Linked DNA regions of Coturnix japonica. The protein of the gene in region 1 interacts with the protein of each later gene in a pairwise test. Links are inferred from orthologs where the notes say so. Each region holds a gene or a part of one and is shown on either strand. Other genes may lie near its edges.

Region 1 (4,361 bases):
GTGAGAGCTGAGTCACCCCATAGGGTCTGCACTCACCCACCCCCGTGGGGCCGAGGCTGGGGAGGATGAGTGAGCCCTTCCTCCTCATTTTGAGGAGTTTCTGGAGGCTTTGTAGCGGTTGATCTGATGGCTTTGGGAGTATTTTATGGGTCTCTTTTTTTGGGGGGGGGGGTTCTGCCTGCACCCACCTGCAGCGATGTTGAGCAGCTTGCACGCCGTCTCGATGTCCTTCAGCACTTCGCCCACCACCATGCTCTGCATCTGCTCCAGCGAGTGCTCCTCCAAGGGCAGCCCCCCCTGCAGCTCCCCATCGCCCCCCAGCCCCAAACCTTGGCTGTCGATGATGGGACACTGCTCCGGCTCCTTCTTCACCTCCCCTCTCCCCCCGGGGGTGCCGCTCTGGGACGTCTCCCCCATCCCTTTGGCAGCCCATGCGACGTCCTCCGAGTAGAGCATGTCGAAGTAGTGCAGGCAGAACGGGGTGCTGGGGGGGCTGGGGCTGCCCATGCTGCCAGTGCTCAGACCTGGGATGGGGAGGGGGGGAGGAGAAGCTCAGGCACAAAGCAGCGCTAACTAAGCCTGTTAGAGGGGGAAAATCCTACAAAGAGACGCACAGCATCCGGGCAGCCCTCGGAGGAATGTTGGCTTGGGGTCGTGCCGGGGATGGACCCGGTTTTGGGGTGGGAGATGGAGTCTGGATATGGGGCACTGGGGGGTCCCAGATGGGGCTGAGCCCCTATAGCCCCTGTGTGTGTGATGCACAAACCCTGCAGGCCCAGTGATGTGCATGGGGAGCGTCAGCTGATGGACGGCTCTCCTGGGCCACATGGATTTGGCCACCCCTGGATCACAACTTTCCCTTCACTCTCCCACAACAAAAGCTGCTCCCATTGCTCCGTCCCCGTTCACTGCGGGCTCAGGAGGATGAGGCTGAATGATTCCTGCAGCAACCCCATGGACCGGCTCCATCCACTGGGACAGGGAACTGGGGAACGGGGACGAGGGGAAGGGGCAGCACTGAGCTGCACAGCAACCCCTCAGCCTGGCAGTGGGGTCCCCCCCCATCATCAGTTTCCCTGAGCGATGGCACAGGCTCCCAAACCTCCCCTTTATCTGCAGCGGATGAATAGAGGAGCTTTAGCGGATCCTCCTTCATGCAGCCCCACGCTGCTGCGGCACAAAGGGACGCGGCGACAGCTGCTCGGCCCCCAACCCTCTGCCAGCCCTAAGATGGGCACGGGGGGGATCGGGGCGTTTGGGAACGTGGCCCCATTGCAACCCGCTGAGCTGCTCTGTGCTCGCAGGGCGGGGGCCGCTGTTTGCCTTCCCTGGGTGGGACCTGTTTGCTCGCAGCTTCGGGTGCCTTTTTTCCCCCTTCTCTCTCCCTTGTTGTTTTTCCCTAGAAAACTGGAGCTGTGTCCTATATGTCCCTATGGCAGCGCCATAAGGTACGGCCCATCAGTGCTGGTGTCAGCCCCATGTGGGGAACGGGGATGGGAGCCGTGGGGACACCGCAGTGCCCCGGAGCAGCGACACCTCCACAAACAGCCTTTAAACAAGGGAAATTAAACAGAAATAACCCCCCCCCCTCCCCGACCCTCGAACAATGGGGCCGTTAATTACTGCTAAGCCGCGGTGGAACAGGTTGTGCCGGGCAGGTGCTTCCCAACCACCCCCCAGGCACTGAGACCCACAGCCGCCCCACACATCCCTACTGCCAGCAGGACACCCTGCACCCACCAACCCCAAAGCGACAGCTCGGACAGGACAGGACCCAGCAAAGTCCTTTCTGCCCCCAAACCTGTTTCTATTATCAGGGATTTGGGGTTTGTCCCCAGTTTCTTCCATCAGCAAACAACACACAATATGGGAGTCCCCAAACCCTACACTATGCCCTGAGACACCCCATAGCCAGGCTGGGGATGTGGGGCAGATACAGAAACGCAACAGATCAGGGTCTCACTATGGGGTTGCAGCCCCACACGGAGACAAACCCAGTGCACAGCAGGGATACAGCCCACCCAGGGGTCCCAAAGTTGCCACCCCCCTCCCCTGACCCCCCATTACCTGCATTGGTGCTGACAGCTGGGCGCTGTGTCCCAATGCCGGGGTCAGGCTGCCCCAGCCCTGCACTATGAGCAGTGGGGTGGGGACGGGCACAACCCAATGGTGTCCCAAGCAAAGCCCCAGTGCTCGGCGTCCCCCAGGTGAGCAGCGGAGCTTGGTGTTCCCCATGTAGGGCCAGGGAGCCCCTATTTATAGCAGGCAGTTCCCTGCCCGCCAGAACAGCCGTATTGTGGGGGATTTGGCAGCCGAGCAGCGTTTGTGTTTCACTAACCGAGCAGAACCATAAAAATCCAACCTGGAGCCAACGTGCCTCCAGCACTCGGGGAGAAAACAGCAGAAATCCAGGGAAACAGCAGCCCTAAGAAGGTGCTGCTCCGGTGACAGGGTTCTGAGATGCCCCTGAGCACACAGCACCTTCATTACGGGACCCAGCAGCTCTGATGGTGAACCCAAATCACCCCATCTCCATAGAGCACGTTGGGGTCTTGCAAACCACGCTTGTTTTTGGGTGATAACCCCCCCAAGGAGCTCACAGCAGGGGATGGCTGTGCCCACAGCTGCCCTGAGATGGGGTGACCATGGCAGACAACCCTACACCCATCCCCAACCACCAGGAGGGTCCATAGGGCTGGTTGTGTGGCTCTTACCTTGACGGGGCTCAGCAGCAGCATCGGTCCCAGCAGTGGGTGGGAAGAGCTGACCCTGCGCTGCTCAGCACAGTGCTCGGGGTGGGCATGGCCCCAGGTGCAGGGCCCCAGTGGGGATGATGCCCCCAGCACCCACCCGGCTCACGGGCTGCCAGGGGACACTGTGTGGGGTGGGGACACAGACGGGGCACAGGGAGCAGTGGCTGTGGGATGGAGGAGGCGTGAGACGGGGACACGCTCAGCAAATGCCTCCTCAGCCCATTATATCCAATTCCTTCCTTATTTACCTGAACAAACAGGCTGCGTGCTTACCTCAGCTGGAGGTGTTTGAACAGCCCAAGCAGGGTTAACCCTTGATGGGGTGCAGCTTGGTGCCAGGCTCAGCCCCACGTGGGACCCCATAGGGCAGCGAACCCCCATCAACCCCTTCCCACCCAAACACCCGCAGATGTGTGGGGTGGGAGCTGAAGGCTCTTGTGAAGCATGGAGCCCCATTGGGTGCACTGCAGCAGCATCCCACAGCACTTTGGGGGAGCGGAGCTGCTCTGAGCCCCCCAGGACAAACCAGGACCTGATGCACCTCCAAATGGTTTGGGATCAGCACAGGGCTGGGGCTCCTTCTCCTCCCCACATCGCTGCTGTGTGGGGCGCAGTGGGGACACACAGTGCTCCAGGTCTGGGTTGTCTGCACCGGCATAAGCAGGAAAAAGCTGTTCTGACCGAGACAGACCCCGAGCTGGTATTTATGGCCACCCTGAACACGTCAAGAACGCAGCACAGCTGGGGCAGTTCATGTACAAAACCAGCCTCCCCTGCACCAAACCCCACACAGTGCCCCAAACCCTCACCAGGTTACTGTCATCCCCTCCCCCCCATTGCATCCTATGGCACACGGGGGCTCCGCACCCCTCCTGCTCACCGATAAGCGCAGGTGTGAGCCGGGAGGAGAGAGGGAAATAAAACCCCACGGAAAGGCGGTCAGAGCCTTAATGTTATCTTATCCTATGGAAAACACTGCCCCCAGATTAGGGCTGCTGCCACCCGAGGTGAGCACTGCTCCTGGTTTGGGAAATACAGCCGGGCTGGGAACACGTGGCAGGGGGAGATGGAGGTGGGAGGGATGGGGGCATGGCAGTGGGGTGGGGGCATGGCATAAATGGGGGGAGCATCCCTATAAGCTGCACAGTGCACTGAGCTGCCCAGGGCTGTGCCCACAAGTGGGTCCCCAAATGGATCCAGCACAAAACCCCGCATCCAACCAAGCGTGGGGAGCTTTATCAGCCCTCATGCACGGAAGCAAAGGTGTGTCAGCCGTGGGGAGTTAAGATACAGAGCAGAACCTCCAGGTGAGCCGCACACCCACACGAATGCTGGGGAACCACTGTGGCCACCATTCCCTTTCTCATTCCCTGGGTGGTGTACGGCCCCAAACTGCAAATCACTGCCCTCCATCACAGCTCCATCCAGATACCAGCACAAGGGATGGCTGCAGGCACAGGCCGTGCACAAAACACCTGCCCTCCTTGCTGGGATGTCAACCAGGGGACTCCCTTGCTCATTAGGTTGAATTATCACTCATTAGCAAGGCCAGGAGCAAACTGGAGCAGGATGCAATGGGGTGGCACAGGATGCAATGGGATGCAATGG
Region 2 (4,345 bases), on another chromosome or scaffold:
CCCAGCACCTGTTGGCACGGATTCCCTCTCTTCAATGGCATTGGTGGCATCAGGGAGCACCAACAGCAGCTCTGTGCCCACTGGGAACCTGTGGGCCTTTGTTGCTTGCAGCAATGTGGGGCTGAATGCCCCCTAAACCCAACACATATGGAATCCTTGGGGGAGATTTGCAATTGATGGATTGCAGGTGGAAATGCAGATATTTTTTGAGATGAAACAGCTGGTGTATGGGGTGAGCTGTTGTGCTTCACCCAATCAGTGATGGGGGGCAAAGAATTGGGGGTATAAGCAGAGGGATGGATGGGGGACTGTGTTTTTACAGGCACTCATCATATCTTGCTTTCTGCCCCCAAAACAGTGCCCTGTTTGATCACTGTTAGAAGCTTTGAGGATGTTTAGTTTGTAGGGCTTTTTGTTTCTCTGGCTAAAAGCCTGGCACTGAGAAAGGGTGGTGATGCAATGAGAGGGTGCTGAGCATCGCCTGGGATTCTTTGCTGCAGATTGAGCCTAGTAAAAGCTTCGGGGATTTATTATTGATAATAGTAATAATAATAATAGCAATAATAATAGTAATAATAATTATAATCTGGATCTTTAATTTTTGATCATTTCTGATTTCTTTGGCTAAAACTCTCACGATGACAGAGGCTGGAACTGCACAAGAGGACACTCGAAGTCGACATCTCTGAATCAACATGGCCAAGGGCACCATGGCATGAGGGGGGTGGGCTAAAAAACACACCATGCACAGCTCTCACCACACAGCAGGGCTCCAGTAACAGAGGCAGGGCAGGCAGCGAGCAGCCCCATGTAGTGCCAGCAGTGGGGCTGGGGGTAGAATAGATGCTTTATGAGTGGTCCCAACCTCCAGGCTGGAGCCCCCCGCTCTCCTCTTGGTCTTGTAGCGGCGGTTCTGGAACCAGATCTTCACCTGTGTCTCACTCAGCTGCAGGTTCTGGGCCAGGTGGGCACGTTCAGGGGCTGACAGGTACTTCTGGCGGCTGAAGTTCCTCTCCAGCTCCAACACTTGGCTGTGGGTGAAGGCTGCCCGTGAGCGCTTTGCTGGCCGGGGGGGTCTGGGCAGCACCTTCTGGGGTGGATCATGGCTGCATGGGGAGTTATCAGCATCTGTAAGGGGAGAGGGCTGAGCATCACACACTGAGAACTGCCCCAAACTCTGGGTTATTTGGGTTTTCATCACCCAAATCACTTTTTCTCTCAGTATTTTCACCATCCAGACTGCCTATTTCCTCACTTCTTTCTTTCTTATCCTCTCCATAGAGTGAAGCATTCAGAAGCCACTTTCCTCCTTGCTTTCTAGTTGCCCAGACCCCTTATCTCCTTACTTTTGCTCACCCAAATCATTTGTTTCCTCCATTTTCATCACCCAAGTCACTTGTTCTGTCATTACTCACATTTCTCCTTTTCCATTCACTTCCACAGAGCAAAATATTCACAAATCACGTTTTCTCCTTGCTTTTCATCACCCACATCACTTATTTCCTCTGTTTTCATCGCCCCAATCACTTGTTTTCTCATTTTCCCATCACCCAAACCTCTGATTTCCCTACTTATTTTTCCCCTTTCCTACCCCTTCCTATAGAGCAAAACCTCCCCACCACCCTGGAGATCCTCCAACACAGTGATTTCTCTGCTTGATAGACTTAATCTCATCCAAGGGAGCTATTTTCTCCCAAACAACCCCCTCTTTTAGCTCCTACAAGGAAAAAGCAACCCCCAAAAGGGCCATTTTTCATTGCTGGTGACATCTCGAGGCTCTGCTGTTGCATACAAGGTGCCATTGGGATTTTTACAGCATCACCTGTAAGCTGTGCAAACCTCTCCAGCCCTTTATTCACTTTTATATAGGAGCTTCTATTAACAGAAGCGACACAGAGAGCCCAGATTCCCCTTGCAAGGTCTCTCTTAGCAAGCTCAGCTTTGCTTATTGGATGTTGCAGCTCAGCTGCTCCCATTGCACAGCTCAAAGCTGCACTGCATCTGAGTTTTAATGCAATTGCATGCGATTTGCAGCACGCTGCTTCTGCAGGTTTAGCCACTGCATGCTAAAAGGAGGTGCTGCTGGGGTTGTTTCTATAGGAGTAAGGCTGATGTGCATAACACGCATTATATGCAATGCAATAGGTAGGAGCAGAGCGTTGCAACTGGTGCTGAGAACCAGCATATACACATAGTCTGCAGTGCAACAGGCAGGAGCAAAGCATTGCAGCTGGTGCTGAGCATGCAGGAAAACAAGCAGCAAGTGCAACAGTGAGCTGCAATCAATGCACTGTAAGTACAGCAGCAGCAGCACCCAACAGCTGCACCAAGGGTTGCATTTGCATTAAAAGGAATCTTAAGCTTGCTATTGCAGAAATGCATCCTCTAGGCTTTTTAATAACCAAAGTTGGAGGTTGCTCCTGTGCTTTGAGTTAGCTGAATTGCCTGCAGAATGCTTTGCATGCAGTTGCTGTTGCTCTCAATGCTCCTTGCATTTGAAGCCTGAGTAACTTGGGAATGCATGGGTTGTTTAGGTCAGAGGAATTCAAAGCTGAACCCTCATCCTGCTCTAAGGGTAAGTATCCCACAACACCCCCCCCTTACCTTCATTCACATCGTGGGGCTGTGCTGGGGACACTCCAGGGCCATCCTGCTGCTCTCCATCCTCTGGTATCCCACCTTGATCCATCTGTGCCCCATTTTCAACCCCATCCCATAGGATGTCCTGGATGAGGAAGGACGTCCGAGGTCTGGACGAGGTCTGCTGGGGGCTGCTGGAGGCTCTGTGCCCCCCAGGGCTCAGCACCCCAGTGCTCATCCTCTTCCTCCTCCAGCTGCCTGCAGGCTCAGTGCCTCCCCACCCTCCAGCTCAGCATTTATTGGGCCCATGGCCAAACCTCCAGGGCCTGATTGGAGACTGGGACGTGTCTACACCCTTTGCTGGTGTCCCAGCATTGCAGGATTTCTGCTGAAGCACAGCAAATCCCTTCTGCTGCCTTGCTCAGGACACCCATCCCCATTGAACCCTGCTGGGGTAACCCCATGGCTTTTATTCTCCTCTTAATTCTAAGAGCAAGATACCCAAAGGGTGTTCATCTTTTTGGGGTAAAAGCAGGGTTTGGGAGGTGTCAAAATAGGGTTGTTAGGATATGATGGTGCCACTTTGGATGGGTGCTGTGGGTGAGCAGAGCACCTTTTGCATCTCGACCCTAATCCCAGTGGGATGATGATCTGAATGCTGCACTTCTGGATGTGATTTATATCCAGGGCAATCCCTAGAGCTCAATGGGGAATGCAGACCCCAGTGGGGGTGAAATCAACCCCAAACCCCAGACTGATTCCCCACTGTTGTAGACCATGAGTTGCAGAGCAATACTGATGTGAAATCAATATAATGATGGTAATGCTCAGAGTAATTAAAACAAACAACCAAACAAGCAAACAACAGAGCAAAAAGCTCAAGAACAAAAACTCAATAGGTTTGCAGAATATTGTGTCATGAGGTTATGTGTTATTATATTGCATTCTGATGTAGGGCAGCCCTGGGTGAAGTAGGGAGTTGGACTCAATGAGCTTTGGGGTCCCTTCCAACATGGGTTGTTCTATGCCATGATGGTGTGATATTGCAGAACATGCATCTTTCCATTTGAAAACACATGAATGAAACCTGGGAACCACCCAGAATTTGGGCAATATCCCACTTTCCAGCAAGTCCTTTTATTCCAGTGATGCTCATTGCATTTTCCTGCAGCTGGACCATAAATCTCTGTGATGTTGGAGCTGCCCGTGTGCTCAACTCATCTGTCCATAGGTCTGTCCTCAATGCATGGCTCAGTCCTCTTTTCCTTTCAATGCTGACTGCAGAATAACCCATAACATTGGTCCAAAAGCATTGGTTTGGGGTTTTTCAGCTCCGGGGACCCCCTCATGGCCATTTATTGCATTACATTTTGACTGATTTGGGTTTTGTGGGAAGAGATCTGCCTCATTTTGAGGTGGGCAGTTTCTAATTTGGGCTGTGCCTGTAAGTCATTAAGAAATACGAATATCCCAAAAGACGAGAAGAACTCAAAGCCTTAAATAGAGTGCTCATGGAAAAGCAAAGGCGCAGTGGTGTGCATAGACCCTGTTCCCTTAGCAAGAAAAGCAGCATCTGATCCTTATGCATCCCACAGGGGCATCCCTATGGGGTGGGATGGGCTCCATGATTATGTCCTAATAAATAAACGTCCCTGGCACTGGGGTCCCCAAATCCTCAGCACCAAAAGTTCCTTTCCTTGGGCTGGATGGTGAGGATGGATGTGCCACATCCTGCTGTCCATTACGGCTTTGGATGCCCCCATCC

The links.
Region 2: the proteins of SPDEF (region 1) and NKX3-1 interact in a two-hybrid assay, tested with the Homo sapiens proteins (2 studies listed by BioGRID). The link is inferred for Coturnix japonica from reciprocal best matches to the Homo sapiens genes SPDEF and NKX3-1.

What each region holds. Positions count from the first base shown.
Region 1 is NC_029541.1:4,214,201-4,218,561, reverse strand, and holds the start of SPDEF (SAM pointed domain-containing Ets transcription factor), read right to left. Parts: upstream 3,104-4,361; 5' UTR 2,715-3,103; intron 525-2,714; 5' UTR 508-524; coding exon 189-507; intron 1-188. UniProt on the Homo sapiens protein: May function as an androgen-independent transactivator of the prostate-specific antigen (PSA) promoter. Binds to 5'-GGAT-3' DNA sequences. May play a role in the regulation of the prostate gland and/or prostate cancer development.
Region 2 is NC_029537.1:2,308,755-2,313,099, reverse strand, and holds the start of NKX3-1 (homeobox protein Nkx-3.1), read right to left. Parts: upstream 2,960-4,345; 5' UTR 2,819-2,959; coding exon 2,605-2,818; intron 1,129-2,604; coding exon 755-1,128; 3' UTR 1-754.